Kluyveromyces lactis: one gene and its partners. The protein of the gene in region 1 binds, or shares a complex with, the protein of each later gene. Links are inferred from orthologs where the notes say so. Each region holds a gene or a part of one and is shown on either strand. Other genes may lie near its edges. The genes, in order: RPB5, RPC17, RPA49 and RPC53.

Region 1 (7,316 bases):
AACGTCTTTGCAATGGTTTCCGGAGGTGGTATTACGGGGCAAGCCGATGCCTTGATGCATGCAATCGGTAAGGCATTGGTTGCTTTCAACCCACTATTGAAAACTAGATTGCATAGATCCGGTGTCTTGACAAGAGATTACAGACACGTCGAAAGAAAGAAGCCTGGTAAGAGAAAGGCAAGAAAGATGCCTACCTGGGTTAAGCGTTGATCTGATATTAGTCTCTGACCTTTCCATTAAAAAAAACACATGCTTGTTTCACAAGTCCTGTACATATATAGCAATTTTACATAATTTAACAAGCTCCTTTCACCTTTTACTCTGTCGTCCTACGTTAGCATCTCGTAGTTCCATTAGTCGTAGTTTCAAAAAATCTTGTAGATCCTTGTTCTTCCTTGTTCGTAGTAACATATCTTCAGACGTAACAACATTTCTGTTAGCATGTTGGGCAAAAGCTTCCAAATCACCACCAACCTCACATATCTGCTGGTAAACCAGTTCAGTAAGAGTGTTGACATATTTTGAATTGTATTTTACATCTTCTGGTAGTTCTCTTTTGATAATCGATTCCACATAGAACCACAGCTTCCCGCGTAACTGGGATCGTAATCTCTTCTCTTCATCCATATTTGATCAACTGAACGACGCTACCATGAATAGAGCCCACAGGACAATGCCAAGTCAGGAATTGCCAGCTCAAAACTCTAAACGAACTGCTCAATCGATTGTAATCTTGTATATCTTGCATATCTTGGATATCTCCGCATTCCCAATGCATATCAATTATATTCATGTTTTCAACAGTTTCCAGAATAGAGGCAATTTGCATATATATAACGAAGACAACAGAATGTTTGATATCAGATAAATAAAAGATGGAGATTACAAAGAACAGCGTTAGAAAGTGAGGCGCAAACGTTTTTCGTGAAAATTACTACTTGACGAGACACTAGTGAGGTGTATGCTTGTGAAAATACGAGTCAGGTTATCCTTTTGCTCGAAACTGATAACTTATAGAGACATCTTGTTTTAGGTATTGCAAAAGAATAGGTTCAACAAATGAGCAAGTATACGTTGTCGTTCGGTTTGCTTCCGTTAGAACTGGATTCTGATACGAAGCATCTTTTGCCCATCAGCTCAATTACAAACTTAGATTCTACTGTGATAACTACTGGACGTGATGGGAACGTAGTTATTGAAGAGACTCAGACGAAGTTGGCTGTGCATAGCGATTGGATCAGTGGCATAGCTTGCCTATCTGCCGCCAAATTTTTAACGGTGTCTCATGATTTCACTATCTGCTACAACTGGAAAACGACTATTTGGAACCATAAGATTGTCGGCTACCATGCTGACTATGTGAAGGGGATAGCTTTAATAGGATTAGAAGACATGAAATGCAGATACGCCACGGTAGGTTTGGATAAGAAGCTAAAGATCTGGGAACTGGATCTTTTTGAGGTGGAGAACGAGGAAGACGTTGAAGCTAAATTACTTGGAAAATTCGATAACACCACGCATCATGATGCAGGGTCTATTTATTGCCTGACTGCTACGAAGGACGTCATTATCTTTGGAGATAACGAAGGCCGTTTAAGCTGGTACGATATAAATAGTTACAGTGTGATAAGAACCATAGATGACGCAGCTGGTGTGAACTTAAAGACTTTGAAGCTTTTAGATGATGAAACAACCGTTCTTAGTACAAGCGCAGATGGAGAGATCAAACTTTGGAATGTTGAAAGTGGCAAATGCCTTTGGACCAAACAGTTGTCGCACGCAATATGGTCGGTAGAAGGAACGCTTTCTAAAGATTTATTTCTTGGCGACTGCATGGGTAATATAACGCAACTTCAAGGTAATCAGATATCTGTTATCTACAAGCCAAGCGATTGCGACACAAAAACAGGTGGCATTCTGGCAATGGCCATTATAGAAGATGTGTTGTGGTTCTCCAGATCAGGAAATTCGGATCTAAACAAGTTGAACTTGTTGAGTAAGAAGCTCACGGTTATAGAAGGTGGCCATGCACTAGTGCGGTGTTCTTTGTTGACAAACCGCAGACATGTCATCACGGAAAATACATCCGGTGAGTTGGAGAAGTGGGATATTGTTTCTTGTGAGCTGGTTGAAAAAATCAGCCGAGACGAAGGTAATTTCGATGAGGTGGTCAGAAAACTGAATCCCAAAGAAGTCTTACAGCACTGGTGCTCCGTTTCGATAAAACGAGGCATTCTTTTTGTAAAGATCAATGAACGTTTCCTGAATACCGAAGTATACGGAAGTGCCCTCACCGATTATGTAATAGTCAACGAGGATAAAGTTGACGAAATTAATTTGGACGAAAGATACAATTTGGGTCGTATAGCTGTCAATTCATTATTACATGGTTTTATTGATTATGAATTGGCGAAGGATAAGAAATTCAGAGAAGATATTTCTTCCACAAAGAAGCAAACTCCTCCATCTACTCCAAATCTATTAAGAAGACACAACTCAATGGCCTCTGACCATACGAACCCTGATCAACATAAAGACAACAAAAGTATCAAGGAGAAAAGACGATTATCTATATTTACCAAGTTCACTCAATCAAATAACACTACCCCGCAAAGTTCGGCCCCCAACACCCCCAATGGTATACCTGACGTCCCACATACATATCACGGCATAATCGAAGAAAGCGAAGATGAGATGGGAATGATGTTACCTGGCCCAGCAACTGCTCTACCTACTTCATCGAAACCGGCGAACCTCACTTTGACAAGGTCTGTTACTGAACAAAGTATCGAGAGATCTGCTACACCTTCAAGCACATTTGGTTTCCATAACAGATCATCGAGGGTAAAACTAGAAACTAACAGCATCGATGACCTTCATAGTATCTCTTCTACTGGGAATGGTGAAGTGAACTTCAAATTCAATTCAAAGAGTTTTTCCAAAGATCTGTCTGAACGAAAGCCAGGACTTTTCTTGAACGAATATATCGAAGAAGTTTATCACGCTTATTTGAAACAGGCTCCAAACTCCTCATCAACGTTCATGAAGTTTGGGAGGCGGATCCCCGAGACTTTGTTCATCAGAGACTCAACTAGACCCGTGATACAAATCAAGAGTGGATGCATTCTCACGGTCAACCATTGGAAAGAGGGGTCCACAGGGGAAACTATTGCATTTTCCACATATCTCCCACCCCCTACATATACGGCAAACGACTTGATCGATAACTACCATACTTATGAATCATTAGAAAGACATCTCCCGATATGGCTTGGAAAGATTCTTTTCAAAGAGGATAAAGTCATTAAGACGTACCCAAAAATCACATTCATCATCCAGCCTTGGAAGGACGAGGCTCATTTATCGGAGGAAACGCAACAATCGCCAGAGGCTGAAAGACTAGTAGTAGAACATAAAAGATCAGGGTTCCACAAAAAATCTAAACCACCTGAATCACCCTTAATGCTACCGAAGATTAACGATAGCAATGTTAGATTAACAGCTGCAAATATGATAAAGGCAAAAAAGATCAAGACTTACATAGTGGATAGATTCGAATCAAAGACACCTGAGATGAAAAACAAAGAAGATCCAAGCGAATGGTTAGAAATCTTGTGCAAAGGAACAGTACTAGAAAACGATATCACCCTGAGTGCTATACGCACTTTATACTGGAAATCAAACACAGACATTGTTCTTGAATATAGACGTAAACCGACTTAAAATTAAGAGAGACTGTGAGACTAAGTTCTCACCCAGGCTTATCAATATATATATATATAACTAAATATAGACATATATACAAACATAGAACTACACCTGCCGCCCTTGACTCAGAGCATTCCATACCAACACAAGACAGGCACGTGACTGAAATCATGAAGGACGAGTTTGATGGTTTGGCTCTGTTTCCTTCTTTCATCGCATTGAAATTTCGAAGGTTTGTTGAAGTTTTTCTTTTTCTTTTCAGCCAAAATTTTCCAAAATTTAGAAAGCGATGAGAAACAAATCCATTAATTTGTTGATTGAAATTTAAGAAAAGATTGAAGTTAGGTAGCCGAATAGTCCTTGTACCGGTTGAAATTAAGGGGTAAGATTAGTTTGCATATCGATAATTGAGTTCTTAGTACTTGTTTGTGCATATCGATAATTGAGTTCTTAGTACTTGTTTGTGCATTTTAGAATTTAATACGAACTAATCTTCAAGCGGAAAAAGTTAGTTTCATAAGATATCAAAGGCAAGTGACGCACAATTTTTGTAACAATGGATCAAGAGCAGGAGAGAAACATTTCCAGGCTATGGAGAGCTTTTAAAACGGTGAAGGAAATGGTTAGGGACCGTGGATATTTCATTACCCAGGAGGAAATAGATTTGAGTTTAGAAGATTTTAAGGCTAAATACTGTGATTCTATGGGCAAGCCACAACGTAAGATGATGTCTTTCCAGTCCAATCCAACCGAAGAATCAATAGAAAAATTTCCTGAGATGGGTTCATTATGGGTGGAATTCTGTGATGAAGCATCTGTTGGTGTGAAGACGATGAAGAATTTTGTGGTTCATATTACGGAAAAGAACTTCCAAACTGGTATATTCATCTATCAAAGTGGTATTACTCCAAGTGCAAACAAGATTTTACCAACTGCAGCACCAGCAGTCATCGAGACTTTCCCAGAAGCATCTTTGGTTGTCAATATTACACATCACGAACTAGTCCCAAAGCATATCAGGTTAAGTGAGGCTGAAAAGAAGGAATTATTAAAAAGATATAGATTAAAGGAATCTCAATTGCCTAGAATCCAAAGAATGGACCCAGTAGCATTATACCTTGGTTTGAAAAGAGGCGAGGTTATAAAAATTATTAGAAAGTCTGAAACTTCTGGACGTTACGCAAGTTACAGAATCTGTTTATAAGAGCAATTAAAAAGAGCCATTCCCCAACCCTAAGTAAAGTAAATGCGTGTGTATAATAATAGACCAAATTAGAGCAAGAGAAACTAATAGGGCCTTAAACACACTCTTCGTATGAGAACCCATCAGGGGATATCATAATCTAATTACGATTCTTTTTTCAATTATTTAAGGAAATGATTAATCACGTTTTGAACATAGCATGTCTGAATTAAGAGAGTTCATTGATATAAGAATTCGAATTTTTAGGAAAACAGGTAAAGATCAGGAATGGCTCACAAGACGTGAACATAACACGCTATCCCTTGTTCCCTTCCACCAGGAGATATCTTTCAAATTAATTTCAATAAGAGGAGACACTTCAACACCCTCACTACCCAAGAAGGTGGCACCAACGGTGATGACCAGGGCATCGATAAGGTGTGGTCTCTGTAGCAAATCATTGATAACAATCCCACCACCTTCAACCATGATGGATTTTAATCCGAATTGAGATTTCAATTGGATGAACAAATCGTGCCAGTCCACTTTACCTGTAAAATTAGTTTGCATCACTAAATAGTCAACGTTCTCTTCTACAACTTCTGGAAGCTTTTTCACGACTACAATTGGTGCTTTACCATCACCAGAATCAAACAAAGTTTTCATCTTGGAACCCTCAAACTTCCATTTCCCGTTTGGATCTAAAATTATGGGCCTTGGAGAATGTTCAGCAAAATGTTCTGGTTTTGGCTCATCATCTGGCCACCATTTACAGTTCAAACCGGGATCATCAACCAAGACAGTACCACAACCCAACATGATACCGTCAAACTTGTAACGGAGGTAATGGGTCATTGTATTAGTTTCTTGATGAGAGATAATAGTTCTAGTCCCTTTGATCTTCGCAATACGAGCATCCAACGATTGCGCATAAGTTAAAATAACGTACGGCTTTTCCTGTTCGCCCAAAACGCCAGCATTTTCCGGCATGTATGGTTCTAAGAAGGAAACCAACTCCTTTTTCAATGGTTGTATAGGCATGGCTTTTGTCGATGTATATAGCTGACGCGTTCAGTTGTGATTGGGCAGTGATGTTCCCAGTTCTTAAGCAGAAAATAAAAGAATGAAGTTTTTATCTTCTAAAACTTGAAGCCAATTTCGGGTTGTTTTAATACTCTTACACTGAAATATATCTATGAATTATGAAACTCTGTGTTGAGATAACACTTTTCCGGATAATTCAAAGTGATCTCAGTCCGATAAATTAAAACGAACTCTCAAAAGCTCTGAGTCAATATTATTTCAACAGCACAAATACTAGCACTCAGCCAACGTTGCCTTGCCAAAATAGATCACAGGTACTCGAAAACAACACGTTCCCGCTGAAGGGATCTTTCCGCAACTAAAAAAAAGAAACAACATTGTGGAAGTCACCTGTGTTAAACATACCAAACTAAAATCTTTTGAGGTACAGTCAGTTGCATGATTGTTCCTGTTCTGTTGTGGAATTCCTTCCATTGGTTATGTTCGATGATAATAAAAGAAAAAAAACATGACGCATCACGTGAGATACTTTTACAGCTATGTAGGAACGAAGGTTGGTATGTGAGTCAGTAGTAGCTCCAAAATGTTTCTACTCTTCTATGTATCCATATTCAGTGTCTTCAGTATCGTTATTGGTATGGGAGGATGCTAGTTGGAGTTGGCCTTTCTGCAAACGGGCAGGTATAGAGATATCTTTCTTTGAATTAACAGGATGTCTATTGCGTGATGATGCCTTCAAATCGAAGGAATTGAGGTTGGAATCATCGTTCAAGTCCAATTCCTTGAGCCAAGGATCATCTACTTTACTGAGCTGCGATGCCCTTTGCATCTCTTGTTCTTCGATTAATAACTGCTTATCTAACTTCTTTTGCCTTTCTCTTTTCAACCTTGCCTGTTGTCTCTGTTCCCATTGCAGTTGTTCTTGTTCAGGATTAGTATTATCAGTGTCATCAATGGCAATTATTTGACTCAATATCGATTGATCTGAAGTCTCAGAGGCTACTATATTTTCCGTATACTGCTTCTGTCGAAGAGCTTTAGCTAAATATGCAGCTCGAACTAGACTTCCGTTCTCACCTGTCTCTTCTGGCTGATTTTGCTCATCTTTCCTCTTTCTCTTGAGAAATACAGGCTTGTGTAACGTTACCTCATCATCACTACTGCTACTACTGCTGCTACTGCTACTGCTACTACTATCTGGACCATCTTTACCGCTGTCACTGTCGCTGTTCGCTTTTGTACTTAAGTGAAGTTCAGATTCGTTCATCGGATTCGAACTGTAATTATCATCTCTTGCTGTAGTAGATTTTTCGTCTGAAGACGAATTTTCAGAATCGCTAGACTCTTGCACTTGCTTCTTGAAGTGTCGTATTGCCATTTC
Region 2 (7,088 bases), about 150 kb from region 1:
AAAGAAGTGGAGGGGAAAGATGGCAATATTATGGTGCAAAGTGTTATTTAAGGTCTGGCAGTCATGCAAACCGTTCACTGAAGAGTGAATTGTCTTACTGCTCCTTTATATTAAAATGATTAAAGTCAAATTTTAGGGTACTAATTAACAGTTATGGAAAAATACTAAATGAGTCTATATGGTGTCAGATGCGCACGTTATTCATACAAGATTGCAGAAGAAGGTAAACAAGATGGAGGCCATCAAGAATGCACAGATCATACGAGGACCGTACTTATCCTCGTAATCGATGGAGCGCTTCATTCTGATATTGACAACACGTTTACAGTACGTGTAGGTACTAAACCAGATGGTGAAGAGTGCAGTCAAGAAGAAACCAGTAGAGGCGACCATTGTGGTTGGCGTACCATAAGTTAAGAAACTTGTGGACACACCGCCCAAAACAAGTCCGATAGATATCCATGAAAGTAAAGTTCTTTCAGTGGCAAAATACACTTTTGGTTCCACACGCACCGGCACACATATGGTTTTCCCCGGTGGGGCATGGACGTATGTATCAAAGACAGTACCTTCGGGAACCTTAGAAACTTGGTCGCCGTAGAGGTAGTGATCTATTTGGTACACTAATGTGTGCCAATATTTGGCCACTGGATTAGAAGCTTGTCTGATATTGCGCAGAAGAGCTGCGGAATTTTCACTAGCGGCTGGAGAATCCGCTGTGTTCCCAGCGCGAGCTGAATCTTGAGTTATAGAACCATAGTTCCCAGTAGAGGATTGTCCAGCAGGTGCGGTACCGGCTTCTCCAGCTGCTTCTTCGATATCGTAGGAGTTCCCTGGAGCAGCCAACTCTTCATCTTCAGTGTCCTCATATTCGTCTTCATCATCTCTTCCAGGTCTTGTGATATTGATGTGAGTTGGGATGGCGGGTTTCCTGATATCAACATCCATTTGAGGTAGCCAAAATGGAATAGAACTGACTCTGTCGTTGAGAAGTGACGCGACACCGTGAATGAATTTAGAAAACTTAGGCACAGGTTCAACTAAATGCGAGCCCACTAATTCTCTGACCCATTCTGGAGGCTCTTGACCCATTTGAGTTTGTAGTTTGACTTCCAAAACAGCGTAAGGGAATCTACAAATGTCTTTTTCAGGCAACTGATTGAATGGCCAATCTACACCAATATCCATTCTTCTCCAGTTACCGTTGGTTCTGTCATGACCATCAAAGTTATCCTCCCTTACCATGGACAATTCAGTATCTAAAGAAATACGCACGCGGGCATCACCAGGCAATTGGAAAGCAGTTCTGTTATAGAAACTTCTGGCCACTGGTCTTAGTTTCTTCTTGAGCATTGTATACTGTGTTTCTGTAGCCAACGCCTCTAGATTCTCAATTTCTTGGATTGATTTCTTCCCCTCTCTACGCATCTTGGCGAACGCTTGTTCTACAGTATACTTCCCATGCAAGAAATCATTAACGTACTTTTCCTTCAATGCGAAACGAGCTTTGACCGATTTTTCACCAGTCCAATCTTCTCTATGTGTCTTTCGTTCGACGAAAATTGTGTCAGAGCTCATACCACCGTACCATCTCAATCTATGCGCCTCAGCACCTTCATCCTTCCTCAAACGACCGTAGTATAGATCAAGGTCCTCGTTATCGTAATAAATAGAGGTAATGGCACTGTCTTCTTTTTCAAACTCTTTGTTAGTGTTGAAAACAAGAACCGGCAAATGCTTTAGGATGATCAATTTCAACTCTGTAATATTATCTGGATGAACCCAATACTTTGTAGTTTGTCTAACGAAATTTTGTTGTTTCCCACCAGCAGCAGAATCACCCTTTACAGGATTACCCCTGGTTCTAACGATATCGTAAAGTTGTGAAAGTTTCACCACCAATTCATCGTAATTTTCTTTAAAGAACGGTTTGGCATCCATTCTGACTTGGAAAATAGGTTTCAAGATGAAATTGGTATTCTTATCATGCTTCTTAATAATTTTTTGCAAACCGGTGTAGTTTAACCTGGCAAACTTGGCCAAATCATGCACATCAGCAATGATATCAGACAATTCTTCTTCTAAGATTTGGAAATCCAAATCTGTAACCGGAACATTTGTATCCAAAGAACGCACAGCGACAGAAACTTGTTCCTGGGCTTGCTTGATACGACGCACTACCTCGTTATGCTTCACTTTGCAAAAAGTGTACACTTTATCCAATTCAATTTCCAAGGACTCCAAAAACTGAGTCTCCAAATCCTCGTTCCATTTTCCGTTGTTAGCTTCCAAGGATTCCTGTAACTCCGTCTTCAAGTCATTGTAACTGATATAGTAATAACTGTACTCACGAATCAAAGATCGCTTCAAATGTTCACCAAATTTTACCATCGTTATCAGTATCAGCTATTTCAAAGGTCCTGATGCAAGTCTAACCCACTCAGAAGCCCTGATAACTACTTTATTCTAGGGTATCCCTTTTTTCCCTTATACTGTCACTTGGAAACATTGAAACTCATGTTCCTGATCTTTTTTCTCATTGTATTTCGGTCTGTTATATGTGATTTTTTTCTCCAAGCATTTAAACATTATAGATATTGTATTATGGTGTATAATAATTAGAGGCACGTGCGGGAGATGCATTCGAGAAGCGAGGTCACCTGACCTTCGTCAAGTCTTGATTCGCACTCTTCGACTATGCTATACAAATGGACCAAGTTTGTTGGTAATTGGTTCACTATTTGTAGTTTTTCTGCTTTGTATAGTGGGAAAGCATTTAATTCTTGCATTAGTGTTGAGAATTGGTCTGTAGTTAGGTTCAGCAGTGTGGATTTGTTGGCGTTATTGGGTACGGTCTTGTCCGACGTTTCTGGTTCTTCTGGGTCTTCTGCTGTAGTGGAACGCTGTGTTATGTACCTTACCGTGTCTCTGGTTATCGTTTGCAGTTCTGGATGGTAGTATGGTTTGTTGTGTTTCCTGTCTGATTTTGATCCAGAGGTCCATCGGTGTTGATTCTGTAATGATATGAGGAACTGCAAAGTTTCGTAGTCGCTCATAAAAGCGTTTTTTTCCTCAAGCACGCGCATTTTCTTGGAATTTTGTTATATGAGAAGCTTTTTACTTGGATAATTCAGTATAGGCCGATACAGTCTTTATTACTTGCTACTCTTTGATCTCAACTCAGCTCATCTCTTCTCTTTGCATGGCTTTCAATATATTCGAAGCGGTGAAAAATAATCCCGTGTATCATGATTTAGATGAACGAAACAAGTGCTCAGGGTATACGTATCCTGCTTTGTGCATACCAGTTGCATGGCTGATGCTGGTACCATAGCGATTAAGATGCACCTATTAAAATTCAACGAGGTTAGTTTATATTACAAAATGACTATTTATTAGAGAAGTAGAAGTGCTGGAATGATAGCAAGCAATTGCGGTAAATTGAAAGCAGCAGCGTTTTCTGACTGTGTGGATGTTAAAGCAGCTGATGAGCTTGTCTCGCCAGTGGCATACGATGTGATCTCTTCGTCAGCAGCGGTGGTAGTGACCAAAGATGAGAAACCTGTGGTCACAAGTTCTTCCGTGGAAGTTATTAGAGATTCAGTTGTATTCAACTGAGTTGAAGAAGATGATAGGGAAGTGGAGGAAGATGTTGTGTTCAATGCAGTAATACTGGATGATGAAGCACTGGTAGATGAAGCACTAGTTGTGTTCAAGGTGCTTTCAGTGGAAGTAGTTGGAATTGTGGTACTAGATTTAGAAGTCGTAGTGGGGGAGGATGAGGATAAGGATGAGGATGATGATGATGCGGATGAGGATGAGGATGAAGATGAGGATGAGGAAGTGGATGAAGATTTGGATGTAGATGGAGATGCACTTGTCTTGGTTGAAGATGAAGATGTGGAGGATGAGGAGGATGAAGATGAAGTGTCGTCTGATACGCTTCCACCAGAAGCTAACTTATCGAAATCTGCTACTCCTTGATCATATCTACCATACACCTCACCATCATTAGCTTCAATAGATTCCCAAGTACCATCGGTGCCTGAGTATGAGTATTCTGTACCAGTGGAGTAATCAACAACGATAACGTCTTTCAAATACATGCTGAATGGAGCTTTGGTATAATCGGTCAAACCACCTGCCCATTCAATGGTTCCGGGCTCGTTTTGGGAATCACCACCAGCCCAAATACCTGTGAAAATACGCATTGGAGACTCTGGGTATCCTTGACCATTGTCACTGGTGATAGTCCTTACCAGTGCACTGTCGACATAGATATTGATTTCATCCTTAGTCCAATCAATGGTATAATTGTGGTAAGAACCTTGAGGATCGTCCACCGAATGGAAAGCACCACGGTCAAATGTAGTAGTTTCACCCTTGGAGAAGAAATTGGATTGAACTTGAGTAGTATCAGTACCAGTCCATTCGATATCAATTTCATCAAGATCATCACTTTGCAAATAGAATGAGGAAATAATACCTTGACCACCGGCAGCCTTGGCAATCGCTTGAACTTTACCAAACATAATATAAAATTCTGAAACCAAACTTGGATTATCCAATCTCTTATTAATAGTCATTTCAACACCATCATCACCATAAGAAACATTACCGTTCGTGGCATATCTTTCAAAATATGAAGATTCCTCATCAAATGGTACAGAGATGGATTTACCCAAAGCAGGATCTGGTGAACATGTGCTGGCAGTCAAAGGATTACATGCTGTTGATTGAGCGTAGGCAACTGACGCCCCAAGGCCCAATGCACTCAAGGTATAGGTTAACTTCATTTTCGTCTGCTGTTACCTTTGGGATGTGATTCTTGCCAAATTGATTTGTTCCAAGATGACGCACGTAAAAAGAATGTCTAACCCCAATCAATATTGTAATACTAGCTCTTTTATATATACAAGAGGTGTTCGCGTATTTCAAGTTGGTTTCACGTTGATGCCCAGGGTTCAATCCGATGTATTTGAACGGGAAAATGAAGGTCAAAAACATTTGAACCAACCAAATCCCACAGAAACATATGTACCGGTGGGAAACTTTGAAAATTTCCCACTATTTGAATGCGCTACCAAAAATAAATTGACTGAAAAAATTCGTGGCTTTGATGCAAGTCTGTCTGTTCATCTTCATGATCACCGGCAACTTCTCCATTTACTATATACCTGCCATATTATTTTTCGTTGTTCTTGGCTTGTACTGTCACTTTGGTGGCTTTTTCCTACTCTTTTTGGGTTTTCTAACCTTTACTTTACCCGTTCGAGGAATAAAATTAGAAAAACTGATGAAAAATTTCGAGAAGACACAGTACAGTTCCTAGAGAATGAGAAATCGTGCTGGTTTTGATGCTTGGTTTTGCAATTAAGAATAGAAATAGAACCAGAAATAGAAATCAACATGGAAGTTGAAAAGTGTGTCACACAAATGAGCTCGCATGTGTGTTGGTGGGAGGGAGCAGCACTAGGTGATATATGCCGTAGTTTTTACTAGGTGTAGTAATTCTGTTTCAATGCTGCATAGAAAAGAAAATATCAATTCTAAAAATAGTTCAAAATTGAAATTAAAAATAATGGTTGCGAAGAGATTCGAACTCTTGCATCTTACGATACCTGAGTGTTCCCAACTGTAAGGTTGGTTAAGATAGGTATCTTGAATCAGGCGCCTTAGACCGCTCGGCCACACAACCAATTTCGTGATAGTTGTTATATTCCTCTATAGTATACTGAAAACTCAAGTCATGTGCAACGTGCTTTAACACCCAGACGACTACTGATTATTTTATTTATTGGCCGATAGTGGTGCTAAAATTTCTATGTCCACCCAAGCGAGGCGGAGGCCCAGGTTTTTACTTGTATGTTGAGAATACTAAAAAAAACAATAGAATCGATCTTCCAAATATCGTTCTCATTTGATTTCGCCCAGGATCGAACTGGGGACGTTCTGCGTGTTAAGCAGATGCCATAACCGACTAGACCACGAAACCGTTGAAAAGTTTGTTTGTAAGATAAATTCAATTGTAACTGCCACCTCCAGGAATCGAACCTGGGTTTCATCGGCCACAACGATGTGTAATAACCCCTATACTAAGATGGCATAGTACTTTGCGATGTTTGAATGTGGAACTGCCCTGCACCAAAGTGTCTGACTACCCTCACACATGGTATTCAGCGGCGTTTTCTCAGGGCATCTCCTCTTCCTTTCTCCCTGATAATATTCATAGACACACACACAATATCAAACCCCTTAGATGCCTTCACATTGCTAGTACTTAATCATACCCTATCATTCTATCGTATTAAACCTGTTCACACTTCCTAACAAAAGTACCAGAACTTACATCGGGTTCATTGTTACTTTCCGACGGTGTGCATAATTTGGCTACGACTTTTATTTTGCATACATCTACGCACCAATTTGCAGCAAAAAGCTATATGAAGAAAGATCAGGCAGGGGAAAGAAAGCGCATCGCATTCTGTGGCGTGGGTATATAATAAATAAATAACTGGATCGTTTTTGGTGAAATAGATCTATCTCAGACAAGCCAACATTGTTCCGAAGTATTGACCAAAGCAGAATATATAGTGATTCAAGAGATTGCTACGAACTATAGAAGGGGTTTTAACTAGAAAGAAAGTAATGACGCTAATAAAGATGTTTGCAGCTAGACAAGCCATAGGAAGATTTGCATTGATACAGAACAGAAACTTTCATGCTACGCCGATGAGATGTTATAAAAAATGGAATGAACTAAAGAAGGATGATAAGCAGGAGTTCATCAAGAATTTCGTTCTTTTGTACAAAGAAAAGCATCCATGCAGTAAGAGTAACGTAATGTACAGGGCGTTGGCCAGTGAAATGGATGAATACGATGATACCCCATACGTATTTGGTGTTTTGTACAATGAGATTAGGGCTGTTGAAAAAGGCGAATCTACTGATAACGAGAAAGGTGTAGGTGCGATGGGGGATGCAGATTTTGTAAAACTATTGTACAAGTAGAATTGTTGAGTTTCCGTACATAAAGAAAGAAAGGATAATATATTGTACATATTCACAATTTAATTTAAATTTCTATT
Region 3 (7,856 bases), on another chromosome or scaffold:
ATATTCCGTCTCCTCTATAGCTGCTGAATGCATCCAAAAAATGATATCGTGATATCTACCGTTCTTGTCATGAATCAAATTGAAGGGAATTAAGTTCTCATCTTTCTGTTTCCCAACCACCATCGAACAAGTTGCTCCTACACCCAATGAACAAATGTTGTACTCCTGGATATATAAAGTATTGAATGCTTTTTCTACAGCAGTTAAAATATCAGAGGTACATTGGGTAATGATCCCATTTCCATGCCTAAAATAAGGGACTTTTTCTTTCGTTTCCTTGACTAGGCTATCAGTATAATAATCAAAAATACCTATTCTAAACTCGGTAGATCCCAGATCGACACCTATCCCAACATCTTGCATATCCACAGGTTCTATATATGATGTTTAAGTTCTAATTTCTCGATTATACCATCACTTTCTGTATTCTTTTAGTTGATCATTATAAGATGAAGGTTGATAATACGAGATGAATAATTCTTTTTCTTTATATAGTAAAATAGATTTCTGAAGAAGTGTAGATCAATTGCAAAAAAGTATTATACAAACGCATGTTCTACTTAAATCATAGGGATAAGCTACCTTCTTGGCCCTTTACCTCTTCTAATCATTTCTGGTAGCTTGAATGGTACCTTCAAAGTTGCTATTTTATACGTTGAGGCAGAAGACTTTGGAATGCCAAAGGCTTCAGCTTGAGCTACAGTAGCACCCTTAACGGTAGCACCTAAGATTTTGAAGAGACTGACAAGCTTGGAAGGCTTTAAGTTTAGTTGTTGAGCTAAAGGTGGGACTTCAACAATGAAGTTATCCAAATGCATAATAATTACCAAAATATAACATAGCAATTTGTCCTCCCTCTGTGGATCGATAAAGAATGACTTATCTTTTGATCTACCAAATTGACCAGGTCTAGAGATGGTAAACCTTTCCAAAATGCCATTTAATAGGGCATCTGGAGGGTTGTTTATTCTTTCCAATAATTTTGTCTTGTTGTTAACTCTTCTGTTATCGTACACCCCAGCCAAAAGTGATAAATAATATAGTAATTGCAATTTTTGCATTTGTGCTGCTTGTGTTAGAGTTGGCAACTTGTTAGCCACATATTGAAATTTAGTGTATGGGAAATATTCTAGCCTCTTTTCTGGGTCTTGCTCTTTCATGATACTGCCAACGCGAATAAATGACCATTCCTTTTTGGGTATTATGTTGTATAAAGGATAAATTTGTTCCACATCTGTTGCGTCTAAATCAGCCAACGGAGTTGGTCTATCAGAAGATACAGTTTCTTGCAGTTCTTCCTTTGAAGGCAGTTCTTTCGAAGCAGTCTTCACTGTGTCTACAATATCTATCGCAGAATCAACCAATTTGTCTGAATCAATACGGTTTCTTTCCATATCAGCAATGGCCTTCTTTGCCTTCTTAGTACCGAACGCCTCACCTAAAGCGTTTCTCATCAATGCAGCACGGACGTTAGCCTGTTTAATGTCAGGTCCCATTAGGTTCTTTCTAGATTTGGAAAGAACCTTGCTGGATACCAGTGGTGCCTTGTACAATTCTACAGACTTCGTGGCGGCATCATAAACACCAACAACATACTGAGAAGAATTAACAAAATCATCGTCAGTCTGACCTTCATATTCTAGTCTATCGTTTTCACCATGTAACACGTATTTGTCGCTGTTCTTCTTGTTCTTATATAGCTCGAAGGTGGTATCTTTTGGTGCCTGGAAGCCCTTAAAGAAGCTACTTACAGCAACAGATGGTTCATCATGATAAGCTGAAACACCAACCTCAGTGAATGCACGTTTGGAACCCATCTCCACACTCTTAGTTACTACACAGTCAGCTTATTTCGGACCTTGGGATACCTTTCAATGATGTACTAATTTCCCAATATAGTTTGTGATCGATGCTTTACATCTCATCTCATCGCATATCCAAAAATTTTTCGATCAAGGAAAAAGAAACAAGAGTCATGTGACCGAACCATTGGATTATTGAGTTGGAAAGACGAAACTTCGACCGTTTGCCAGATTAATAAATGCCTTTTATAGTACCTCGTTACACCAAGCTTAGTCAGGACGCCTTACTTTTTCTGCTGCATGTTAAACCTGCTTTTTCATAGATTTCTGTGTTGTATTTCGTTCAATGCTCTGTTAGAGGCGATGAGGTTAGCTTTTGATATTTCATTGAAATGTTGACAGACATCAACAAAAAGCTATGTCAGCACTTATACCAAGTTGAGTGGTTCTGTAGCAGAACATCCAGTTATCATAATGCAACGATCCTTCTATGAAATTTTGGGCATTGAAAGCGATGCCAGTAATATCGAAATTAAAAGAGCTTATAGGGCCATGTTACTGGAAACACATCCTGATAAATCTGGATTGAATTATAATTCCAACGGAAACAATACATCTAGTCATTCTGTTACTGATATCCAGGAAGCTTACCAGACCCTCATTGATCAGGATTTGAGGAAAAAATATGATGAGGAACTTGCTGAATCGTTCAAGAAACTTGGCTTTCACAATGCAGGTGATGGTCTAGATCTTTTCTCTCTAGATCTGTTCGATTACAGCGGAGATGAACAATCTTTTTCGATGAATTGTCCCAGGTGTCAAATAACTGATGGGTTCCAATTAACCGAAGATGCTTTGGAAGAACATGCGATAGATTATGAGGGAGGTGGATATTTCGTATTGGTGCAATGTTCGGCTTGTTCACTATGGTTGAAAGTCTTATTTGACGTTATGGAAGAGTGATGTGACATATCAATTATGTTTTCACAATTAAAACCTGAAGAACTTCCTTATATTGTATCTATTGTGTCATGAAAAATTCACACTATTTACAGGTATGTTTCTTTACTTATGCATACTAAGAGCCACGTCAAAAAGCATACTGAATGTATCTAGATTTTTACGGTTCTTTCTCCGTATTTGTTTGCTCAGCGTCCAATATGGAAATGAAGGCTTTAGAGATAGCTTCAAAGTCTGTCATGAGGCTTACATGTGGCATTTCGCTAGCTATCTTTGCTACAATAGGAAAGCCGCATTTTTCTGGAAGTAACCACTTGTGATGTACAACACCGTCACCAGGTCCGTAATAAAAGTCTTGATACAGTCCTTTCTTTATCTCCTCCCGATTTTTAACCTTGGCACCTCTGACCGTCGGAACCCTATCACCATATACTATTGCTAGCGGCGGATATGTCTTTTCAGAATCGTGTTCTAGTTGATCTAAGAAACGCTTAGTCTTTGGAAGAATCCTTTTCAGATAGTTATAAGAGTCCTCAAATGAAGTGATAAAATCGTTTTCAGTCTCGTCTTTCAAAAGATTGCTCGATGATTTGATCATTTTGACTGGTGATAAGATTGCCAACTTTAAGGAGTCTTTAACCTTGTCTATTTTTGATGTGCTTTCTCTTTCTTTACTTACTAACGGAGAAAGACCGTATTCCTTCCACACATTCGGATCAAAGAAATCAAGATCATATCTTTCATAGGTATCTTTATTGATAAAACATCTACCATCATGCGGCAAAAAATAAAAACTGCTTCTCATAAAGAAATTACTCTCTGCGTTCAATATGCTTTTGTTTAGTATAACTTCATCACCAAATCTTAAGGGACCTAAAATATTAGGACACTGACTCGGAGCCCCTACATAAATTATTCCTCTTATCAAGTGCGTATAATCTTGTAAAACTTTATGTGCCAGAAGACCACCCATCGAGTGCGCAATTAAGAAAGTTCCTTTTTTTATCGTTTGTTTATCATAAAGTTCTTGGAGCTTATCCTTTAATTGTGTTGCCGTAATATCTAAAGATAATCTCCAATCGTATCCAAAGTCTTCTACATTAACGTTTGGATTCATCTTTAAGCGTCGTATTAGTTTCCTTGCAACATCTATTGGCCCGATATGGGTCAACATACCATCGGGAATTATGGTTTCTGTTGCACGAAGTTCATCATCTTCTTTTGGGCCTAATAAAAGGTTGATCTTCCTAATATTAAAACCAGCCTTTATTGGTATCCACACACGTTTCATAGTTTCAGCATTTCTCAATATACTACCACGATAGCCTCCTAAAATTACAACATCCCCTTCCAACTCGTCCCAAACAGTTTCAAGCCGTGAGACTGAATACCCATCTTCTGTGATTTCTTCAGGATCTATATTGGAAAAACTTCTAATTGCGTTTATTAAGGTTTCAGGTTTTAGAGCATGTTTCACTGCTTTTGATCTTACGTTTTGAATTCCTTTATTATTAGCAAACAGAAAGCGCTCCTCGATAGATGTAATAGATTCTTGACGCTTTAATTTCAACTTAATTTGATTTCTATCTAATTTTCTGTTTTCTTTATCATCTGAGCTGGTTGTTGGTTCAGTAACTCCATCGTTGCTTATTTGCTCATTGGACAAGAAAGCTCTAATTGATGTCAATGGAGATACTGGCAAAAGATTTTTACCCCCGAATGGAAGACTGAAGGTAAAAATCTTATGTGATGGCTTCGTATCAAATGAACTTATCTCAGATTCATCACTCTCGACATCTTTTGATACTTTTTCCTGCGCATCTAGTTTCTTTGGTTTAGATTCAACAAGGTCGGGACTTGCCAATAAATTACTGAAGTCTTCTTTCCTTGATTCGCCCTCGTTACTTTCTTCCTCATCTTCATAAAGGGATTTAGCACCGGTGCTTTTCCGTCGTTGGGTATTCACTCTTGAAATAACCGCAGATCCACCAATAAAGGAGCTTGCCTCTTCTGCATAAAGGTCCTTCGGGGATTCATAGCTTGTGACAGAGTTTACGTCAAGCTGACTTTGAGCGGCCTCTTCACGTTCTAGATCAGAATCAGTAGATAATTGATCTACAGGCATCTCGTTGTGATTTGATTTGACCAGGACTTTCCTTTTCAATATTTGCTGCCGAGCGTACCATCTGATTGGAAGTTGCTTTAATTAGTTGTCGATTTCCTTAAATATTTTTTGTCACAGATAACTGTCAACAAGATAGAATAGGATGGATTCAAAGCCCTAATTCTTCAAGTTATGAAAAATGTACCATTGTTGCACCGTAAGAAGAACTGAACGTCTTATTTGTAGAACTTAATCGATTTTCCCATTTTGATGTTAATCGACGTCTCCCATTGCCTTTATTTGTTCATGTGACCTAGATTCAACATCAAAATTTTCCTTTAGCTCATTCCAGAAAATTTAATGGATTTTAAAACCTTCACCTTCGTAGAGCTAAGTAAATGATAACATTAATTTGCCGAAAAATCTCTCTATTATTATTTACTGTGCTCCTGAATCCAAGTCTAGGTTTAACTACTATATCTTTGATATATTTTTGCTGCGCTAAGTACTGCTTCCGGCTTGTCTCAGTAGTATATGCTTGCTAGAAAAAGATTAGCTATAATTGAAGCCATCAGGAAAGTAAGAACAATGTCCGCCCCAAAAGTGGTTCAGCCAAAATGGTTCAAGCCAGAGCAACAAAAACCCCTACCAGTGCTAAAATTGTACAATACCCTTACTAGAAATAAGGAAGAATTTGTAACCCATTCTAATTCGAAGTGTGTTACTTGGTATTCTTGTGGACCAACTGTTTATGATGCTTCACATATGGGTCATGCCAGAAACTACGTCTCAATTGATATAAACAGAAGAATTCTTCAGGATTATTTCGGTTACGATATCAATTTTGTACAAAATGTTACTGATATTGACGACAAAATTATTATTAGAGCCAGACAGAACTTTTTGTTCGAAGAATATGTTAAAAGAAATGACAATAAAGTAACCGAAGATACTGTTGAAGAAGTCAAAATATCTTTGTTTGAGTTCGTCGAAAAGAATTTAAATCAGAAATTTTCCACCGTTGAGGAATATGAATCTTGGTTTAGCGGATTAGATTTAGAGAAGGAGAAAGTAGAAAATCCAAAGTTCTCTATGTATTCAACATCCGTTTCAAACGCGATTGAAAGTCTTAAAAGTAAGGGTGATAATTTCTTTGAACTGGCGAAGGACGTGTTAGTACCTTTGTTGGATAAAAAATTTGGTTCAACCTTGAATGACCCTGATATTTTCCGTAAGCTTCCAGCTTATTGGGAACAAAGATATGATCAAGATATGGCTGCATTGAATGTGCTTCCTCCAACTGTTACCACTAGAGTTTCTGAATACGTCCCGGAGATTGTCCAATTTGTCGAGACTATTATTAGTAATGGTTATGCTTATGCTACTTCCGACGGTTCAGTTTACTTTGATACTGCAAAATTCGATTCAAGTGAGGGGCATGAGTATGCGAAATGTCAGCCTTGGAATAAGGGTCAACTTGACTTGATTCAAGACGGTGAAGGTTCATTATCTGATTTTTCTGCCAAAAATGGTAAAAGATCTGCCAATGATTTCGCTCTTTGGAAAGCATCTAAACCAGGAGAACCAGAATGGCCTTCTCCTTGGGGTAAAGGAAGACCCGGCTGGCACATCGAATGTTCTGTTATGGCCAGTGATATACATGGTTCTGTAATAGATATCCACACAGGCGGTATTGATCTAGCTTTCCCTCATCACGATAATGAATTGGCACAATCCGAAGCCTGCTATGATAACCATCAGTGGATTAATTACTTCCTTCATACAGGTCATTTACATATTGAAGGGCAAAAAATGTCAAAATCATTGAAGAATTTTATTACCATTGAAGAAGCTCTAAACAAATACAGCGCTCGTCAGTTAAGACTTGCATTTGCTTCTGTGCAATGGAACAATCAATTAGATTTCAAGGATTCGTTATTAAACGAAGTGAAATCTCTTGAATCTTCATTTACTAATTTCTTCAAAAATATAAGGGCTTTGAATAATGACTACAAGCATTCCTTGGGTTTAGGAAAGATTGTTAGCAAAAAATTGTCAAATGAAGAGAAGGCTTTACTCAACGTTTTGAAATCAACTCAGGAAAAAGTTCATGCTTCCTTTTGTGATAACCTATCTACACCACAGGTATTGAAACATCTTAATGAACTTTTGACTAAATCTAACAGTTACATTGCGAACATTAGCTCTGAACTAAAAATTGAACCGCTATTGGCAATTACCAGATATATAAGTAAGATTCTCGGTGTCATCGGATTTCAATTACGTTCTGATGGCTTAGGTTGGTTGGACGATTCATCTTCTGATTCTTCCCCCGACGTTTCAAAGGAAGACATCGCTCTACCTTATGTCAGATGCCTCTCTTATTTCAGAGATGAAGTTCGTCAATTGGCAATGAATAAAGCACCTTCATCGCAGTTTTTACAAGCTACGGATAGACTTAGAGATGAAGAATTAGTCGCACTAAATGTTGCAGTAGATGACAGACAAGGTCAAGCATCTCTTGTCAAATTTTTGACTGATAAAGAGAAAGATGAAATCATGAAAATCAATGAGGAAAAACTTCAAAAAGAAGCTGAAAAACAGTCAAAAAAGCTTGAGCAATTAAGACTTCAGGAGGCTAAAAAGCAGGAGAGACTTGAGAAGGCAAAAATTTCCCCTCAAGATATGTTTAAGAATGACCTATATTCCGAATGGGATGAAGATGGAATTCCAACTAAAGATAAAGATGGTAACGAAGTTACTAAATCAATGAATAAAAAGTTAAAAAAACAATGGTTGGCTCAAAAGAAACTCCATGAAGAGTTTTTCCAGTAGTGAAGCTAAATGTGTTGCTTTTACTAATTATTTAATTTTATAGATATATCTCTTTGTGTTTATTTTTGAATTGTGCAGTTGTATTGAGTTTATGCAAATGAAGATCTTAAATTTTTTTCTTTTTGTTAACGAATTCTTAAGTATCTTACAATTAG
Region 4 (7,967 bases), on another chromosome or scaffold:
AGGTCCGAACTACGATCCGGGAATCTCTTCACCCTTGATCGATTAAGATTTCTCTTACGATTGGAGTTTTTACCTAAGGCAAATTGTGTCTTCCAGGAATAGTCTTTAGTAGAGCTGTATGGGTGATAAGATGGCTCGATTGGAGAAGCTGGTAGCTGATTTTTGCCCACTGCATTGCCTGCATTCTTGTAATCGTCAACGAAGTACATATATGACTGAAGCATTTTGTTAACACCCTCATCCGATTCGGTTTCACTATCATCCTGTTCTGCTTGGGAAAACATTCTCTTAGTTTGTTTTTTGGCCTTGGTACCTTTGTCAATTTTAGTAGCTTCAAACATTGCGTACTTACACACGTATCCCAACCCCTCCTCATAGACGGTACATTCTCTAAAAAAATCTATTATTCTTTCTGAATTCTTTGGCAGGGAGAACCATAATATGAAGGGAGTGATTATAATGCTGACTAGTTCCCTTAGTAATAATGTGATTCTCAAGTTGTAAAGCCTACAAAACTCATTTTTGATGTCCTCTGTATGATATTTCCCCTTCCATTCCTTTGGAGCGTAGTGTGTATACGACACAAGTTCCTCCAGTGTTTCCTCTGGTTTGAGAACCGTATACTCATCGTTGATAGAACTGTGACAAACTGCCCATAAAGTACCAAAAACAGTCATGTAAAATAAAACAGTTCTGTCAGGTGTAATTTCGAAGTTTAAGAAATTGTCTGGATCAAATATTGTCAGAATACCCAAGATTGCCACAAAAGAACCGGAAACAAACTGTATAAAGCTTAAGGTCAAGCTTAATAATGTATTGGGAAATTGATTGACATAATTGTCCGCTATTATCATGCTCAATCTCATTCTTTTTTGGAAAATATGATATAATTCATTGTATTCCCTAAATTTCCATTCAGCAATAGGAGTATATTGCCGAGAACCTATTGATCCTGGGGAGGTTTTGTACTCATTAAAATATCTGAAGAAGTTCAATAGAACAAAGTATGTTACTAAGAATGGGGATAAGATAATGTTCAAGAATCCAGCAAGAACAAACCTCTTCTTTAACTCCTCTCCCAGGTATTCTCTCTGGCTTTCTCTTAAGAAAGCTTGCTTTAAATAGCCCTTCTCATTGAATGCAAAACCTAAAATACAAAGATTTATGTTCCATTCGAGCGTCTTGGTAAGAGCACATGTTCTTAGTAGAGGTACTGGTAGGGATAAGTCAAGAATATTGTTATCATATAGTGCAATGACAAAATTCTCTTTGCGCATAATTCGATTAGCCACGTCATGCGCACTCAACCTGTTTTTTGCTTTGACTTCGGTAGCATTTGCTGTGATCGCATTCTGATCCTTAAGTAATACTAGTTGTTGAATCACACTTTGCCATGGAATAGTTTGTAAATCTTTATCTGATATGCTTAAAAGGTAGTTGTAAAAGTTTCGGATGTCCTTCAATGCTTTCACATCAAAATACAATTGTAGAACTTTAAGCCCTATGAAGGCGTAAAATATCCATAGAAATACCTTTGCAGTTGGAGAGATCTGTGTCTTATAACATTGTTCAATATGAATTTCTTCAAAAGTATGAGACGATGACAACCTTGAATAATCTATGCAATGGCCCATGTAAGTTGAAATGAATACCACAAACAAGATTGTAGCTAGATGAATAACCTTCTCTGTGATGATACAGTAGAATCCGTTCCCTAGGTAATATTCGTACACCTGCTGCAAAAAAGTGTCTAAATTTTCGATATTTGCCCATTTCCATAAAGCTCGTTCCTTTGGACTAAGTGAAGATAAGCTGTTCTTTGAAGTGCTTGTCAAAGTAGAAATATTGTTAAATATTGGAGGAGGTTTCAAATTGAAATGAGTTGATTTACCTGGTCCTGATTGTTCTGCGACTGATGGCTTTCGGAAGAGAAAACTCTCCTCAAGATTATTCGGCCTTCCGTTATTGCGAAACATCTTTGCAGGGCTATTCCCTAACAATCTTTCGAATACCCTGCTTTCCGAAGGGTTCTTGGTTGACTTAGTTGCTCCTGTAATGGGGTTTTTACCACCTAGATTCAGTCGTTGTCTACCTATGAAAGGTATCGTTTCGTCAGATCCTCTATTACTGTCACGATTTGATAATGGCTCCTCGTCTTCGCTGCTTGAAGGCTGTCCGTATTTCGAAACAGAGCTTGCCAAGTCTTGATCGCTGAAATCCTCTTCTTCTAAGTGCACTTCATCTTCTTCTGTACCTCCCTCATCGGGCTCTGATTCCGATTGTATTGTTGCCATCCCATCAGATGCTGTATCAAATCTTATGGATTGTGGCTGTTGTATTAGCGGCTCCTCATCATTGCTGTCCTCGTTAGATGAAGATGGTTCCTGATCGGATTCTATTAGCCTCACATTACCTTCATCCTCGGCATAGTTACTAAAATCCTGTTCCGTAGGCATAGTAATATGGCTCATCTCAGCGGCATCCAAAGAGTTTTCTACAGCAGATGAGTGCACACCAAACACTCTTGATAGAAATGTGTTCTTGGATCCACCATTTACTTTATCCTGACTATCCGTCATAACTCAGACTTCCAAAATTTTATTGATCCAAACTTTTCAAGTTGATTCAATCAACTGACTAAATACCGTGAGAGGTAAGGTTATGGTTGTAGTGTCCTTTCGATTATACCTTGTTTTGTGTTTGTTGAAGTCATTTTTAAGGGAATCCTTGTATACATGAACAAGTTTTGTAATGGAGCCCTGCATATCCAAACATCAACTCGTACTTAATGACTATTCTGATTTCAGGAATTATAACCTGAAAAGGCGATGCATCTTTATTAGGTTACTATGCAGTAGCTGCTGATTGTGTTCGCAGTGGTATTTGAATCTCCCATTCTTGATGTAGTTGTCTACATTAAATTAATGTTATCATACGAATTGATTTGCTGAGCTTTTTCTTCAACTATCATGTACATGCAGAAATCTATATAATTAGATATGTGGTGTTACAATCGCTCTTCCGTCGATTTGGCCTAGTAGCTCCGCTTCTTCTCCCTCCAAATCTAGTGTAACCACGTCTTGCAAAAATGTAGACTCTGCGCCCCTGCTGATATCCATTACGACGTCCCCGATCTTGATTGACATTTTGCCGGATCGATGCATTCTAATTGAACCAACGTTTCCGATCAAAGGCTCAGGTGAATCTATTTGTGTTTCTTTGCTGTTTTTACTATTTGATTGTTCACTTCCTTCATCTACTTTTGCTTCACCATTTGGCTTTACATCTTCTTCGGTGGATTTCACTGGGGGTTGTGGCTGAAATTCAGGTAGATTTGATGGGAACTGGAAGAACATAAACTTATTTGGAACGTCGTTAATCTTGTTTAACTTTTTGTACATATGTTTATGATCCTCAAATAACAAATTTGTTTCCCTGAGAGCTTCTGCGCTGTCAACAGATTGGAAATCTTGTTGAAGTTGAAGCAAACGCAGTTTTTCTTTTAACTGCTGTTCCTTCTCGTTCACTATGTCATTTAAAGTACCATCCGATTGTTCTGGTTCTAGCTTCACAGGTCCTGGTGTTGGTTCCCTGGTCTGCAAAGTTGACATGGATTCCTGGACAACTTTCTGTAGAGAATCCACCTTTTCGTGATTGATACGAACTGCCCTGACAGGGAAAAGATTGGCCAATTGTTTAGAGGCTCTGGTCTCTTCACTCATGGCTGCATCAGTATTAGAATCCTCATCTTCATCAAACAGATCGTCAGTTTCCTTCTTGAAGTCTGCCTCTGTATACTCTTTCCCCATGTTAATTCTCTTCCCAGCTTTTGAATCTTCTGCGTCCGATCCCTCTGCTTCATCATCAGAAACAGCTTTCAAACCGCGTTGCACAAGACTGCTTTGAGAACCCTCCGTCTTAATGAATCCATTATTCCCTTTATTAGATCCTCCAGAGAAATTACCAGCTGCCAATGGGCCTGATGTGATAATTCTTGTGTTGTTTAAATACTTCGGCTGCCTCTTCTGGTTGCCCTGTGGTTTCTGTGTATATTTCTTCTTCTCAACCTGTTTATTCGGCTCTTCTACCTTCAGAACGTTAGCATCTCGTTCCTCCTTAGATTTACGAGCTACCACTTTGGGCTTAAACTTCAGCGAGGTTCCGGTTGATGGTTTCCCCTGGTTCAATCCAGGTAAACGTCCACTCATCTTTAGTTGATTCCTATCACAATTTGATGCAAATAACTTCTTGACTCAAGCGTTTAATACTGCGATTCTCGACCGTTTCTTCGTTCAACAGCAAATCCTAATATGAAAACGAAGACTAGTTACTGGATACTAACCCTTGCATTGACTATTTGCGCATCAACTTTGCTCATCTCATTGTGATCTCTTCCAGTAGTAGTGCAGCTTTCAATTTTGGTGAAAAATCTTGAAAAAGCAATGTTGGAAAATTTTGTTTAAAGTTAAAGCTCATCTCATCTCATCTCAATTCAGAGAATAGGTATAACTAAGAGAATGACAAGCTGCATAACAGGTAACTACTATCAGCCGCTGTAATCGACTGTATATTGAGTTGGACTTAAATTGTACTGGACATTGTACTTCAAATATGGCAAAGAGAGGTGCAAAGGTCTCAAAAAGAGGGTCTAATCGTAGACAAGACCAGGAAGAAGATGTTGCCTATGGCATGAATGAGGTCGATGACTTTGCAAACAAGAGAGAAAAAGTGCTACTTGAGGACGCAGGTCTTGATCAAAGGGAACCAGAAGATGATTTTGATCTTTCAGTGGATGAAGAAGAAGAAGTGATGGGAATGTCAGATGAAGATAGTGAGGATGAAAGTGAAGAAGTTGAAGATGATGAAAGTGAACAAGAAGAATTAACAGGTGAAGCTGTGTATAAGAAGGTTTTTGGTAGGAAATTAGACGTTGGTGAGAATGCAGAAGAAGAGAGTGGTACTATGCTGGACAATGAGAACGCATGGGGTGCTTCTAAGGCAGAATACTACGGTGCCGATGACTTGGACGATGAAGAGACTGCAAGAGAGATAGAAAAGGAAGCTTTGCGCCAACAGAAGAAACATTTGGAAGACCTTCATATGGAAGACTATCTTGAGGATGAAGTTGATGAAGAATGGGTAAAAGAAGCTAAGGAATTCGATTTAGGTCAATTTAAAGATCAAAAGGATCAAGAACGTCCTACTGAAATCTCCCTTAGGGATGTTCTCAACATGGACTTAGAGAGAAAGGAAGGTTTCTTGAAGACATCCTTCCCAGAATACCTTCCTTTATCAAAGGAATTCAGTAAATTATCACCCGTTTTAGACGAGCTGAAACTCAAACAAACTGAGGAGAATAATGAATTGATTCAGATCAAAATTATGGCATTATCTTCATATCTTGGAACAATTAGTTCATATTTTGCAGTTTTCTTATATGAATTACAGAATAACGAAGATTTCATTTCTATGAAAGATCATCCGGTAATGGAGCGTATTTTGGAGTGTAAAGAAATTTGGAGACAAGCTAGCGAACTACCGGACACAGAAGCAATACGCTTTGAGCAAGACTCTGACGCTGAAGAAAATATTTCGGATATTGGTGAACTTGATGAAGAACTATTACAAGAACAGGATGAACTGGACAGTGAAGCAAGTGCCAGTGACGATGAGGCAGAAGATGAGAATGAGGACGAGGAGGGTGATATGGAAAGCGAAGAAGAAGAAAACTTTGATATCGAACTTTCGAACAGAGCTGCAAACAAAGTTCAGAAAGACAGGATATTACAAGACGTTGATGACTTTGTTGAAGATGAGATTGCAGATGTTGATGTCCAAGAAAAGAAAACAAGGAAGAAGACGTTACGTTTCTACACTTCCAAAATCGATCAAAAGGCTAGTAAGAAGACTGATAGATTCAAAGGTGATGACGATATTCCCTACAAAGAAAGACTTTACGAAAGACAACAGAGGCTACTTGAAGAAGCTAGAAAACGTGGCTTGCATGATAAAAATGCGGCAGATCTTAATACGGATGATATCAACTCGGATGATGAAAAGACTGCCAAAGACATTAAACGTGATGCCGAGAATGAATATTACAAGAGCATCAGGGCTGATAGACAACACAAGAAAGATTCCCGTCTTCAAGCACACAAAGAGGTGGCGAAAGCTGCTAAGGAAGGAAAATTGGCTGAATTGGCCGAACACATTACAGAAGATGGTAAACGTGCAATCAACTATCAAATTCTAAAGAATAAGGGTCTAACACCAAGAAGGAAGAAGGACAACAGAAATTCGCGTGTCAAAAAGAGAAAGAAGTACGAAAAAGCTCAAAAGAAGCTCAAATCTGTGCGTGCTGTCTACTCTGGTGGTCAATCTGGTGCGTATGAAGGTGAAAAGACTGGTATTAAGAAGAATCTAACGAAGTCTGTGAAATTTAAAAATTAGTACTAGATGATATTTAGTGTATCTATATACTCCATGCATTAAAAAAAAACTCGCATTATTCATTCGTGTAATATTTTGCTTTCTGAGTACTCACGAATTAGCAGCTTTGTCCAGCATCCAATATTCTTTGTAGTTTTCTCCGTATTGCATGCTGTATCTTGTCAGAATGGATGGACTCAAGATCAAGATCCCATGCTACAAACTCTTTCGCAATATCCTGGTCAATTCTAAATTGGTTCAATTCTTCGATAGTTAGTTTGCTGTAGTTCTTAGCAATGTCAAATCCATCTGCTATCTGAGTTGTAAGTTCTTGTGCTCTTTGGACAATGCTCTGCCTTAAGCCACAGTTTTTGGCACAGAATATACCAAAAGAGTTCGTGGCAATTCCGGTGCTCAATTTGTACAAAAAGGTAATCATTTCATCTCTGGCATTTCCTTTATTTTCCTTTTCCATCACCTGCAATAAAATCTCGGTTTTATAGAATACTACACCATTAATTTCACTAGTAAGGATGTTTGGACTGAAAACTTCGTTATAATGAGTAGATGCGATCACTCTAGGGCAAGACGAGCTCCTTGAAAAGTCCTTTATAATTGCTCCGAACATAGATAGGCCGTCAATCACATCTGTCCCTTTACCAAACTCATCAATCAAAAGTAAGCTTCTCGGCGTTGCCAATGACAAACACTTGGACATTTGATTTGCATCAATCTCAAATGTACTCTGCGTCTTTGCTACAGATTCCCGAGTCACTACTCTGGTCAATATTTTGTCCACGAGACCAATACGTGCATTATCAGCAGGAACGAAACAACCAATATGAGCAAGAAACACTATAAGTCCGTTCTGCGTTAAAAAAACAGATTTACCAGACGCATTAGCGCCAGTAATGACAGAAATTCTTTTGAAATTATTATTCCAAGTATCATTATCAAAAGTTCCGCCAAGCATGCGAAGGTCATTGGGGATGTATGTGTCTACAAGTGTTTCATATAAGGGGTGCCGGCCGTTTTCAATTTCAATTACACATTCCTTTTCCTCAATGACAGGCTGGACATAATTTTGGCTAATGGCGGTCTTAGCAAATGAGACTAAAACCTCGAGCTCTGCGAAACATTTTCCTGACAGCAAAATTGCTGGCTTTGTATTCAAGACTGCATTTTGTAGTTCAAGTAGGATCTCCAACTCTAAATCGGATATTATTCCATGAAGGTCACCATAGTGTTCGTCCATAACTTTCGTATCATCATTCTTGTAATATATTACATTCTGTTCTCTGAAAATTTCAGTCCAGTATAGCACAGCTGGATCGAACATATCTTCTATGGATGCATCAACACATAGTAAATAACCAAGTTGTGGTAGATATATCGCATTTATCAAAGCATTTCGTCCGTTCAATTTTTTAAAAAGCTTCTCCTCATTACTCTGCAATGTTGATATTAGTGTATTGTTTGCCTCATTTGCCACAAGATTTAAAACACCTTCAAGCTCGAAGTAAGTTCCTCTTGCCTCA

Evidence for each region.
Region 2: RPB5 (region 1) and RPC17 share a complex: the UniProt entries of both Saccharomyces cerevisiae proteins name them as parts of the RNA polymerase III (Pol III) complex. The link is inferred for Kluyveromyces lactis from reciprocal best matches to the Saccharomyces cerevisiae genes RPB5 and RPC17.
Region 3: RPB5 (region 1) and RPA49 share a complex: the UniProt entries of both Saccharomyces cerevisiae proteins name them as parts of the RNA polymerase I (Pol I) complex. The link is inferred for Kluyveromyces lactis from reciprocal best matches to the Saccharomyces cerevisiae genes RPB5 and RPA49.
Region 4: RPB5 (region 1) and RPC53 share a complex: the UniProt entries of both Saccharomyces cerevisiae proteins name them as parts of the RNA polymerase III (Pol III) complex. The link is inferred for Kluyveromyces lactis from reciprocal best matches to the Saccharomyces cerevisiae genes RPB5 and RPC53.

Annotation. Positions count from the first base shown.
Region 1 is NC_006042.1:1,965,314-1,972,629, forward strand, and holds RPB5 (DNA-directed RNA polymerase core subunit RPB5), read left to right. Parts: upstream 1-4,264; coding exon 4,265-4,912; downstream 4,913-7,316. Other genes in the region: MRPS9 (mitochondrial 37S ribosomal protein uS9m), read left to right, coding at 1-210; MHF1 (Mhf1p), read right to left, coding at 310-627; DUF1 (Duf1p), read left to right, coding at 1,060-3,723; RIB7 (2,5-diamino-6-(ribosylamino)-4(3H)-pyrimidinone 5'-phosphate reductase), read right to left, coding at 5,174-5,932; U4/U6-U5 snRNP complex subunit SPP381, read right to left, coding at 6,525-7,313. UniProt on the Saccharomyces cerevisiae protein: DNA-dependent RNA polymerases catalyze the transcription of DNA into RNA using the four ribonucleoside triphosphates as substrates.
Region 2 is NC_006042.1:2,112,135-2,119,222, forward strand, and holds RPC17 (DNA-directed RNA polymerase III subunit RPC17), read right to left. Parts: upstream 3,087-7,088; coding exon 2,619-3,086; downstream 1-2,618. Other genes in the region: VTC4 (Vtc4p), read right to left, coding at 202-2,391; CRH1 (transglycosylase), read right to left, coding at 3,396-4,796; KLLA0_F22792g (uncharacterized protein), read left to right, coding at 6,649-7,011. UniProt on the Saccharomyces cerevisiae protein: DNA-dependent RNA polymerase catalyzes the transcription of DNA into RNA using the four ribonucleoside triphosphates as substrates. Specific peripheric component of RNA polymerase III which synthesizes small RNAs, such as 5S rRNA and tRNAs.
Region 3 is NC_006039.1:266,393-274,248, forward strand, and holds RPA49 (DNA-directed RNA polymerase I subunit RPA49), read right to left. Parts: upstream 1,818-7,856; coding exon 579-1,817; downstream 1-578. Other genes in the region: MPA43 (Mpa43p), read right to left, coding at 1-363; JJJ3 (Jjj3p), read left to right, coding at 2,277-2,765; KLLA0_C03003g (uncharacterized protein), read right to left, coding at 2,923-4,887; CRS1 (cysteine--tRNA ligase), read left to right, coding at 5,401-7,701. UniProt on the Saccharomyces cerevisiae protein: DNA-dependent RNA polymerases catalyze the transcription of DNA into RNA using the four ribonucleoside triphosphates as substrates. Component of RNA polymerase I (Pol I) which synthesizes ribosomal RNA precursors.
Region 4 is NC_006039.1:1,430,454-1,438,420, forward strand, and holds RPC53 (DNA-directed RNA polymerase III subunit C53), read right to left. Parts: upstream 4,209-7,967; coding exon 2,994-4,208; downstream 1-2,993. Other genes in the region: autophagy protein ATG9, read right to left, coding at 1-2,579; rRNA-processing protein SAS10, read left to right, coding at 4,612-6,450; MutS family protein MSH5, read right to left, coding at 6,548-7,967. UniProt on the Saccharomyces cerevisiae protein: DNA-dependent RNA polymerase catalyzes the transcription of DNA into RNA using the four ribonucleoside triphosphates as substrates. Specific peripheric component of RNA polymerase III which synthesizes small RNAs, such as 5S rRNA and tRNAs.